Callithrix jacchus: one gene and its partner. The protein of the gene in region 1 interacts with the protein of each later gene in a pairwise test. Links are inferred from orthologs where the notes say so. Each region holds a gene or a part of one and is shown in the gene's direction. Other genes may lie near its edges.

Region 1 (5,511 bases):
CTACTTTGCCTAGACTTCCTGATTCAGAGGGAAGTTATGCAGCACACAGAGGCCACAGCGGCAGTACAGCCTCTTACATAAATAAGTTACATAAATGAGAACAAGTTATGTAAATGTATAAACCAGCAAACATGAATTATAACCATTCACAAATGCCAAGGAGAACACTGCAAGATTCCTCCTACAGTCCCATTTTTTTTCTCCCACACATTATCATAATTGTGTCATTTTATTTCACATCACAATCAGATGTGGTTGTCATATTTATTAGGGGAAGGAACTCCAAAGGACAAATAATACTTCACATTTTTTTTTCTGAACCACATATTGTACTTTTGGCAGAAATCCCATAATGGAACCTGACTTTATATTTGAAAAGAAGTTTATGAGTTGTTATTAATTTATGATACTCCTTGTATAAACATGAATGCATTGATTAAATATTTACTCTTGTACATTTTGCAAGTTGCCATTAAGAATAAGAATGCGTCACAAAATGAATGTGCGTATACACATAGGTATTTGTTATATTATTTGTGACTTCAGGTCTCAAGGGATATGTGGGCATCAGATGAAAGTCACTGTTCTGCTTGTTGCGGGAAGGTAGTAATTTAGGGGGTTAGGATTGGAATTAAGGTTATCCTCATGAATTAATCCAAATGTTTCACATGCCAAATGCTTAGGAGGTGCTCTTTGGATCTGGCTGCAGTTTGGTTCAGGTGCAGTATGAATGATAAATGAACTTGTTTGTGTCTGCATCCTGTTGGAACAGGAGGCTTGGCTTTTTCTCAGGCACCTCTTTTGTATTCATTCCCCTTAGGGTAATATAGCTTTATCTTTTCTGAAGTTACACGACTTGCTCATTGTGTAGGGAAAACATACTAACTCAAAACATCTTTTAGCCTCCTCTGTTCCTTATAAAGAGACATAGTAAACTTTTGCTAATTTCAGATATAGCATGTTCAGATGAACTCTCCAATTAGCAACTTCCTTTACTTTGAAAACCTCATTTTCTATGAAATATTACATATGAATTATTACATATGATTAGTCTAACGTAGTTAATAGTGGAATAGACGTGATCTTAAAATCTATTAGATTCTGTGATTTTGAACAATTAACTTTGTTTCCAAAGATTTGAAAAAGGACTAAAAATTCTAAGTGACTCCCCTAATTCTAATATCCTATAATCAAATCTACAAATATTTTCAGCGGAGAGCTTTAAATTTGCTGCTGTGAAGTTTAAGGAAAACAGAACCCATTTTATATCAACCCTATCATTTTCTTCTGTCGGCAAAGCTGCAGACCCTGCTTTGGTTGTAGTAATATGGTGACCGCCATGTGAAAAACATTTTTCTTGATGTTTTCTTTTACGAATGCCAAATATAGACTTTAGCCAGCTGTAGGGCAGTTCTCGAGGTGTGGGGACACCTAAGGAAACTGGGGGCTTTCTCCCTCGAGGTGCGTCGGGGATGAGCTTTAAGCAGGGCTGGAGGCAGTCAACCGGGCACCAGGAAACACACCTTACCCTCTGGAGGAAGTCGCCCCAGGAACGTGGGTTTTTTGTTCAAGTTTAAAGTTGAGGCCTCTAGACCCGAAGAGTCCGAGTCATCGGGCTACGGTGCCCTCCTAGACCCCCTGCTTAGGCGCGCCCACCTGGAACCCAGGCACAGACGAATGAAAATGTAGACCCGCACCTGACAAGCACTAGGCCACGCCAGGAGAATCCCGCCCGCCAAGAGTTGGGGCAGGTCCCGCCTGGGCGGGCGCCTCGGGAGAGGGGTGGAGACCCGAAGTCCCCCGCGGCAGGGGAGTGCCCTCCAACCAGGCAGGGGCTCGGGCCACCGCAGACCGGGGACGTCGGCGGCCAGGCGAGCGGGGTCTAAGGCTCCCTGCTTCTTCGGGCTTTGTTCCGTCACGAGCCGAGTCCTCCATTCCGGAAAAGCCGATAGCTCTCCGCCGGGAGATTCATCCGATCTGCGTCTCTCGCTGGGAGCGGGCTCGGAAGGGGCGGGGCCCAGCGCTCGGCTCCTTGGTAGCGCGGCCGCGGGCGGCGTGAGGGAGTCCCGGGTGCAGTCGCCAAGCGGGCCCCGCCCTCGCCAGGCCCCGCCCCCGGGGCTTCCCGGGCGCGCGCCGCCCCGCCGTGTCCGCGCGCCACGCCCCCCTGCTCGCGGGCCGCGTGCGGAGCCGCGCGCCCGGGAGGCTCCGGGACCGTGGCGGCGGGCGGCGGCGGCGGCGGCGGTGGCGGCGGCGGAGCAGCCCTCCGCGGGCCATGTCCTCTCCGGCGGTGGCGAGGAGCTCCCCGGAAGGGAGTCGGGAGATGGCCCCAGCGCCGCAGGGCCGAGGCCGGTTCTGGGAAGTGGGCGGCGGCAGCGGCCACCGGCTGGAGCGCGCGGTCGCGGAGTCGGATCGCTGGGAGCTGCTGCTCCGCCGCGGGGAGCTCCTGGCGCTGGGCGGCCACCTGAAGGGCGCGCTGGAGGCGTTCGCGGCTGCGCTGCGCCGCGGGGCCCCGGCCAGGCCTGAGTGCCTGGGTGTCCTGGTGGACTGCCTGGTGTTCAACTACCGGCTCCGCCACGGGCTGAGCTGGAGCGCGGCCCCGACTGCGGGTGCGGACGGCGGCGCCGGCGGGCTCCTCAGCTGCCTGGGCTGCCGGGGCTTCCTGAGCGAGCCGGTGACGGTGCCCTGTGGCCACAGCTACTGCCGCCGCTGCTTGCGGAGGGAGTTCCGCGCTCGCTGCCGCCTCTGCCGGGACCGGCTACCGCCCGCCACCGCCAGTGCCACCGATGCTGAAGGGACTGCCCCGCGGCCGCCGCCTCTGGCCGCCGCCATCGCCGCCTCCGACTTCAGAACCAGCGTCGTCCTCAACCACCTGGCCGAGAAGTGGTTCCCAGGCCAGCGCGAGCGGGCCCGGGCAGCCGGCCGGCTCGGGGAGTTGCTGCACCAGGGGCGCTACCGGGAGGCCCTGGCCGCCGCCTGCGAGGCGCTGCGAGCAGGTGACCGCGCGGGGATGCGGCGGGGCCCGGCCGACCGCACCCTTCTGGCCCCTAGGGCCCGGGACCCGGAGCTCGTCTGCACCCCGGGAGGCTCCTCTGCTTCCCCGAGGCCGCTGGGCCACAGGAGTGTCGGGTCTTGGGGTGCTGGGGGGTGTGGGAGGGGGCGGCGCCCCGGGGTGCTTCGGTCACAATGGGGATCGCCCTGGAAGCCGACTGTGACGCGGCGCGGGGAGGGGCGCTCAGCGCGGGGTTCCCTCGACCGCGGCCTGGCTGTCGGGCGCGCGCGCCGGGCGCGGAGTGGGTGACCGGGACCGAGGCCGCCCCAGCGCGGGATGGGTGGGAGCTGGGCGAGCCCCAGCGTCCGCTCGCTTCCTGCCGCGCGCTTTCCGGGAACTGACTCTCGGGCTGGGCCCGCGGCGGGGAAATTACTGCCAGGGCAGGGAGAGAATCCTCCGCGAGGGGAACGAGGCCGGTCAGGCGGCGTCTCCCTTCCCCACCCACAGAAGTCACCGGGAAAATTGGGAGCCGCGGGAGGGCAGAATTGCGTAAGCTGGGGGCGGGGGGCGTTGTGTAACGAGTGACGTCCGGTGGGCGTGGCGGGAGCTCCGCGCGGGCAACCAGCACGGGTAGGACCCGCAGGCCGCCGAGCTTGGGACTTCGGGTGGACCTGCCCTGGGTGGTCCCTTGCTACCTGGAAATTTCTGGACTGGCTCCTCTTGAAAGTTTCAGCTGGCCTGTTTCAGAGCATACTTATTTCCTATCTACTTTCCAGTGCACCTAGTGTATGGTAAAGATGAGGGGGGTTCCCAGATCCGGAGTTCTTTGCCACGCTTCTCTAGGCCTTTCCACTCATGATCAAGCTGTGAGGAAAGGCCTTGTAGGTCTTGAGTGCATTTCTCAGTCTCCAAGAAGCAGCCTCGGCCTCCTAACCTAGGTTAGCACTTTCCTTCCTAAGGTGGTTTTAGGTGCCAAAAGGGGGCAGTGTCAGGTTTCTCTTACATAAAAGAGTTGTTCTTTAAATCGGTAGTTCTCTACCAGGGGGATTTTATCTCCCCTCTCTCAGGGGACATTATCTAGAGCAGCATCTGGAGACATTTTTGGTTGCACCTCTTGTGGGGCTGGTGCTAGTCCCAACAACTAGTGGGAGAGGTGCGGGAAGCTGCTCAGATATCCTAGAGGCTATCAGGCCCCTTGTTTTAAGCGTATTTCAAGATTACAGTGTCTGTCCATTGGCGTGAAATGATAGTTGGGGGAATGATCCCCAAGAAAATAGACATGTAAAATAGCAACTGACTTTGGGTATTACAGGTAAATGTATAGCCTATGTAACTGAAAGGATCATCTTTCGGGTTATCTTTTGCCCCACGTGCTTAGTCATATTGAACTAATGTCAAGATCTTGAGTTTTACCATTAGAGTTCGCAGCACAAATCTCGGAGATTTTTGTATTCTTTCAGCGCCTTTGTGAGGAATAGGCAATTATAGAATGATGGGCTCAAAACAAAAGAAAAGTATGTGGAACACAGAATTCTGATACAGATGACTCTGCCTCTGAGTTAATAAAGAGAAGAGAAACTGGACTCCGCTGTACAGACCACCTAGTCGCTGACCATGGTGTGATTTTTGAAGGGGGGAAGCAGAAGCCAGGCAGTGAAGACTTGTACACCGTCATACAGTTAACTGGTTGAGAGGCAGCACTGAATCTTCTTCCACTTCTCCTAAACGTTGGTTTAGGGTTCATCTTGCCTATAGCTCATCCAATGAAAATGTTTAGTATACCTTTCCAAGGAAGTTTCTTTGGTCACTGAGGCTGAAACTTATGGACAGTACTATTCAATACTACTCACTACTGATTCAGTGATTTGACCTTAAATTGGGTGTTTCACAAGAATCCAGGTCCTCATCCATGGAAGAACAGTGAGCACATTTGCTAATAGAGTTCTAGCTTAACATTCTGTGACCAGTAATATTTTAGTTAACAGAGATTCTGGTTCTTGAATCGAGGATATTATATTTAACAGGAAAAGGCTCTGAAAGATGTAATCTCTCCTTTTTTTCAAGTTGCATAGATTGCACATGGGAATTTTGCCCACTTAGCAACTGAATCCTACTTTTGCAGGAATAGAACCCAAGTCTTCTGACTTTCACCTCCTTAGCTTATTTTTTCCTCACTTTTAGTTCTTTCAGGAATCATTAATTCCACACTTGAAAATGTCTGAATAGCACTAATGAGGATACGTTTTTTAATCTTTTGAATTCTTAATGTGAAGTAACGGGAAAAAATCTTAGAGCTAATAAATTAGAGTTGGCCAATTTATAAGTGTTTCACAATTTTTGGGTGTAAATCAAAATATTAACTAGTAGAGTCATAATCTATTTTTATAATCATTAGGCTTTAACTTCTTTGGAATTGGCAAGCTACCTAGATAGGCATTTGAAATATGTTTATAGAACTGTACAGTTGTAGTTATTAATGACCCTGCCATTATTGTTGATAATGAAAAAGATCTTCCCTATAA
Region 2 (4,924 bases), on another chromosome or scaffold:
GGCCAAGGCCACGTACCTAAGAAGAGACTGAGGCAGGATTTGAATCTCAGCCTGCATGCTGGAAATAGATGCTCGGTGCTGCAAAGAAAAATCAGCACTGAGACAGTGGATCTTCCGGCAAGCAATTTTTACTTCCTGGACTGCAGGAAGGGTACCCTCGCTAGCCACCTTGCCCCGAGAGTACAAAGAACAAAGGAAAACACACAAATTTATATCTTATGCATTTGGGGTCATCCTTACTGCTGTGTCTGATCTCCATTGGTTGGGGCCAGACCTCTCAATCTAAACTAAAACCTGATTGGCTAAAAACTTAAAACTTTTCTCAACAGGTAAAAGCAATGGAGAGCTGGGCCATGCCTGTGAGCACGTCCAGCACAGATATCCTGGTTAAAGTACAAGGATATAGAATGTACTGTAAGTGTGGCATGTCTGACAGCTACATAGCATAGGGCTTAACAGAGAGTTATTAGCACACGTACTCTTTTTCCAAGAAAGGAAACTTGAAAAAGGAACTTCTCTGCTTCCCACACCACATGTCACCACATGTGAGTAACTGGTAAGTGAGCGAGCATCCCTCCTCTTCTCTTGCAGGCCCCTGACTTGGGCCTCAGTGTCCCTGAAGATCATGATGGCGTATATGAACCCGGGGCCCCACTATTCCGTCAACACCTTGGCCCTCAGTGGCCCCAGCGTGGATCTGATGCACCAGGCTGTGCCCTACCCAAGTGAGTACATTCACTTCTCTTGGCACCCCAGGCTGGCCCCATCTCTTGGAGGACCTGTGGGTCCCTTTGCCTGCAGGAAGAAGGCAGTCACGGGGGCGACCTCACCATACACCAGCTCTCTGGGTTCATCTGAAATGCATGTCCCTTGGGAATGCAGGGAAGCACGGACAGTCCTAGAAATTTAGGATAGAGGTTCCTTTTAGGGCGGGGAAGAGGGGATGCAATCTGGAAGGGACAGCGAGGAATTTTCATCTGTTAGCAACACTTTATTATTCATTTATTTTTCAGAGTCAGGGTCTCACCCTGTCTTCTAGGCTGGAGTGCAGTGGTGTGATCATGGCGCCCCACAACCTTGAACTCCTGGGCTCAAGGGATTCACCCACCTCAGCCTCCAGGGTAGCTGGGATTGCAGGTGTGAAACATCAGGACTAGGCAGCAAAGCTTGTATGTGTGTATATATATATATATTTTATTTTTGAGACAGAGTCTCACTCTGTTGCTCACTCTGAAGTACAATGGTGCAATCATGGCTCACTGCAGCCTTGAACTCCTGGGCTCAAGCTATCCTCTTGCCTCAGCCTCCCGAATAGCTAGGAGTACAGGTACAGGCCACCATGGCTGGCTAACTTTTAAAATTTTTTTGTAGATTGTGCAGGATCTGGATTAATAAAACATACAAAAAATTATTATTTTTTTGTGAATATGGGGTCTCCCTGTGTTGCCCAGGCTGGTCTCAATAATCCAACTGTCTCAGCCACCCACAGCGCTGGGATTACAGGCATGAGCCACTGCACCTGGCCTACAAAGCCTTCTTTCTTTCTTTTTCCTTCCTTCCTTCCCTCCTTCCCTCCCTCCCTCCTTCCTTCCTCTTTCTTTCTTTCTTTCTTTCTTTCCTCTCTTTCTCCTTCCTTCCTTCCTTCCTTCCTTCCTTCCTTCCTTCCTTCCTTCCCTCCCTCCCTCCCTCCCTTCCCTTCCCTTCCTTCCTTCCTTCCTTCCTTCCTTCCTTCCTTCCTTCCTTCCTTCCTTCCTTCCTTCCCTTCCCCCTTCCTTCCTTCCTTCCTTCCTTCCTTCCTTCCTTCCTTCCTTCCTTCCTTCCCTTCCTTCCTCCCTTCCCTTTCCTTCCTTCCTTCCTTCCTTCCTTCCTTCCTTCCTTCCTTCCCTTCCCTTCCCTTCCCCTTCCTTCCTTCCTTCCTTCCTTCCTTCCCTTCCTTCCCTTCCCTTCCCTTCCCTTCCCCTTCCTTCCTTCCTTCCTTCCTTCCTTCCTTCCTTCCTTCCTTCCTTCCTTCCTTCCTTCCTTCCTTCCTTCCTTCCCTCCCTCCCTCCCTTCCTTCCTTCCTTCCTCTTTCTTTCTTCTTTCTTTTCTTTCTTTCTCTTTCTTTCTTTTCTTTTCTTTCTTTCTTTTTGACAGAGTTTCGCTCCTGTTGCCCAGGCTGTAGTGCAATGGTGTCATCTCAGCTCACTGCAACCTCCGCCTCCTGGGTTCAAGCGATTCTCCTGTCTCAGCCTCCTAAGTAGATGGGATTACAGGCGCCTGCCACCCCACCTGGCTAATTTTTATAGATCCTTATTTTTGAGTGAAGTGAGCACTCAGTTATTTGTAGTGTTATTCTTTAGCTGGTTTTTTTTTCCCCACTAAGTTGAGCGGTGTGGACTTGCTACTTTTATAGGCTAGAAATTGTTAATGTCATGCTTCAACTGAATGTGTCTTAGACGGTGCATGAGAGAGTTTCGAAGAGGGAAAATGACTGACACATATATTGGATGGATACACTGCCTTGTAGGGCTAAAGCCAGTTCCCCTTGGGGTCAGGCATGAGCCCTAGGATGCCAGGACAGGGTGAGGTGTAGGAGGGCAGGGAACGTGTATTCCACCCCTAGTTCAGCAGATGGCACCCAGGATGGAATTCTTGGCATCCCACCAGCCTCAGGGCCTCCTCATGGCAGCAGATGTGGATGATCTGAGGGTCCTGTTTCCCATCCCACCCCAGGCGCCCCCAGGAAGCAGCGGCGGGAACGGACCACCTTCACCCGGAGCCAACTGGAGGAGCTGGAGGCACTGTTTGCCAAGACCCAGTACCCGGATGTCTATGCCCGCGAGGAGGTGGCTCTGAAGATCAGTCTGCCCGAGTCCAGGGTTCAGGTGCGGTGGTGGGTCCCCGGACCCCTCCCGACCCTTCCTGTGACCTTCCATGGGCCCTCCCTGGACCCAGAGTGATGGGAGGAGGGAGAGATCACAGGGTTACAGCCACAGTTATAAAGGGGACAAAAATTCCTCCCTCCGCCATCCCACTGATTCCCCACCTCTTACTGCTCTCACCGCCCTCCGATCCTCTCCGGCCACGCTGGCCTCTGACCTGCCTGCTGGGCACCCCCCTGCCTGGGGCCTTTGCACTCAGTGTCCTCTTTCTGAAATGCTCATTTTCCAGATAACCATATGGCAGGCCCCATCGCCTTGTTTGCGTCTTTGCTTATCCATCAATGAGACGCACACTGACCACAGCATCTCACCCCTCGGTGTTTCCCCGCGACCCTGATTCCATGCTGCCCCTTACCCCGCTCAATTGTTTCTTCCACAGTATTTATCACCCTCTAAGATACCATCTGATTTATGTATCTACTGTTTATTTAGGCTCTGTCTCTCCCAACTAGAATGTCAGTTCCATGGATGGACCCTCAGAGTAGTAGAAGATGGTTAATGCACATTTATGAACTGACTGACTGATGGGTGGGTGGGTGGATGCATAGATGAATGTATGTATGTGTGACTGTATATGTGTGTGTGTGTATGTGTGATTGGAAGCGTGGATGAGTGTCTGTGCATGCATGAGTATCTGTGTATGATTAAATGGATACATGTATATATGTGTTTGCATGAATGCACATAGGTAAGATAGATGGTTGAATGTATGCATGCATGATGTAGGTATACATGATGTATGTACACATGTACAGTTGTATGTATGCATGCATGAATGGATGGATGGGTGTATTTATATATGAGTGTATGCATGTATATATGATTGGACAAAGTGTGTGTTGTAGGAGGGTATATATGTATGATTGGATGGATTATGTGTGTATAATTGTATATTTGTATGCTTGTATGATCAGATGAATGGATGAATGTACATATGATGTACACATGTATAGATAGACCATTAATACATGTGTGATGCATGTGTGTATGATGTATGTACATACAATTGTATAAGATGGATGAATGAACCTATGTATGATGTATGTGTGTACACTTGTATGTATCATCAGATGGGTAAGCGTCTGGATAATGTATGTGTGATCAGATGGACTGGTGAATGTGTACATGACATATACATGTATGAGGTATGCATGTACGCTCAGATGAATGGATGCATAATGAATGTGTATATGGCGTATGTGTGTATAATTGTATGCATGTATTTTGTATGATGTATGCATGATGTACACATGTGCACACATGTATGTATAATTGGATTGATAAATGAAATGTGTGTTGTATGTATGTATGATTAAAGTGCAGCTATGTATGATGTATATGTGTACAGTTTATGTGTCTATAATTGTATATTTGTATGTTCATGTGATCAGATGGATGAATATATGTATGGTATATGTATGTATGATCAGATAGATGGGTAAATGTATGCATGGTGTATGTGTGTATGGTGTGTGTATAATTGTATGTGTGTATTATGTTTGTATTGGATGGATGGATGTAGGTGTGATGTTCATGTACACACACATGTATGATTGGATGGATGGCTGTAGGTGTGATATATGTGTGTGTTCATGTACACAACATGTATGGATGATGGATGTAGGTGTGATGTATGCATGTGTTCACGGGCACATGCATGTATGAGTGGATGGATAGATGGATGAACAGATGCTCCACAGCTGGAAGCAAAGTAGAGAGATGTGACCCTGGCACCTCTCACCAATAAGCATCCTCATTCCTGGGAACCCTGCGGCTCTCCTAGGCCTCTTCCCCACTTACCCACCCCATCTCCCCTCTTGCTCCCCAGGTTTGGTTCAAGAACCGCAGGGCTAAATGCAGGCAGCAGCGGCAGCAGCAGAAACAGCAGCAGCAGCCCCCAGGGGGTCAGGCCAAGGCCCGGCCTGCCAAGAGGAAGGCGGGCACATCCCCAAGACCCTCCACGGATGTGTGTCCAGACCCCCTGGGCATCTCAGATTCTTACA

The links. The genes of interacting proteins can lie anywhere in the genome.
Region 2: the proteins of LONRF1 (region 1) and CRX interact in binary tests that used the Homo sapiens proteins (3 or more experiments, as listed by UniProt). The two-hybrid records come from large-scale screens. The link is inferred for Callithrix jacchus from reciprocal best matches to the Homo sapiens genes LONRF1 and CRX.

Annotation. Positions count from the first base shown.
Region 1 is NC_133514.1:28,999,535-29,005,045, forward strand, and holds the start of LONRF1 (LON peptidase N-terminal domain and RING finger protein 1), read left to right. Parts: upstream 1-2,207; 5' UTR 2,208-2,272; coding exon 2,273-2,993; intron 2,994-5,511.
Region 2 is NC_133523.1:41,741,465-41,746,388, forward strand, and holds part of CRX (cone-rod homeobox protein), read left to right. Parts: intron 1-591; 5' UTR 592-625; coding exon 626-725; intron 726-2,712; coding exon 2,713-2,864; intron 2,865-4,749; coding exon 4,750-4,924. UniProt on the Homo sapiens protein: Transcription factor that binds and transactivates the sequence 5'-TAATC[CA]-3' which is found upstream of several photoreceptor-specific genes, including the opsin genes.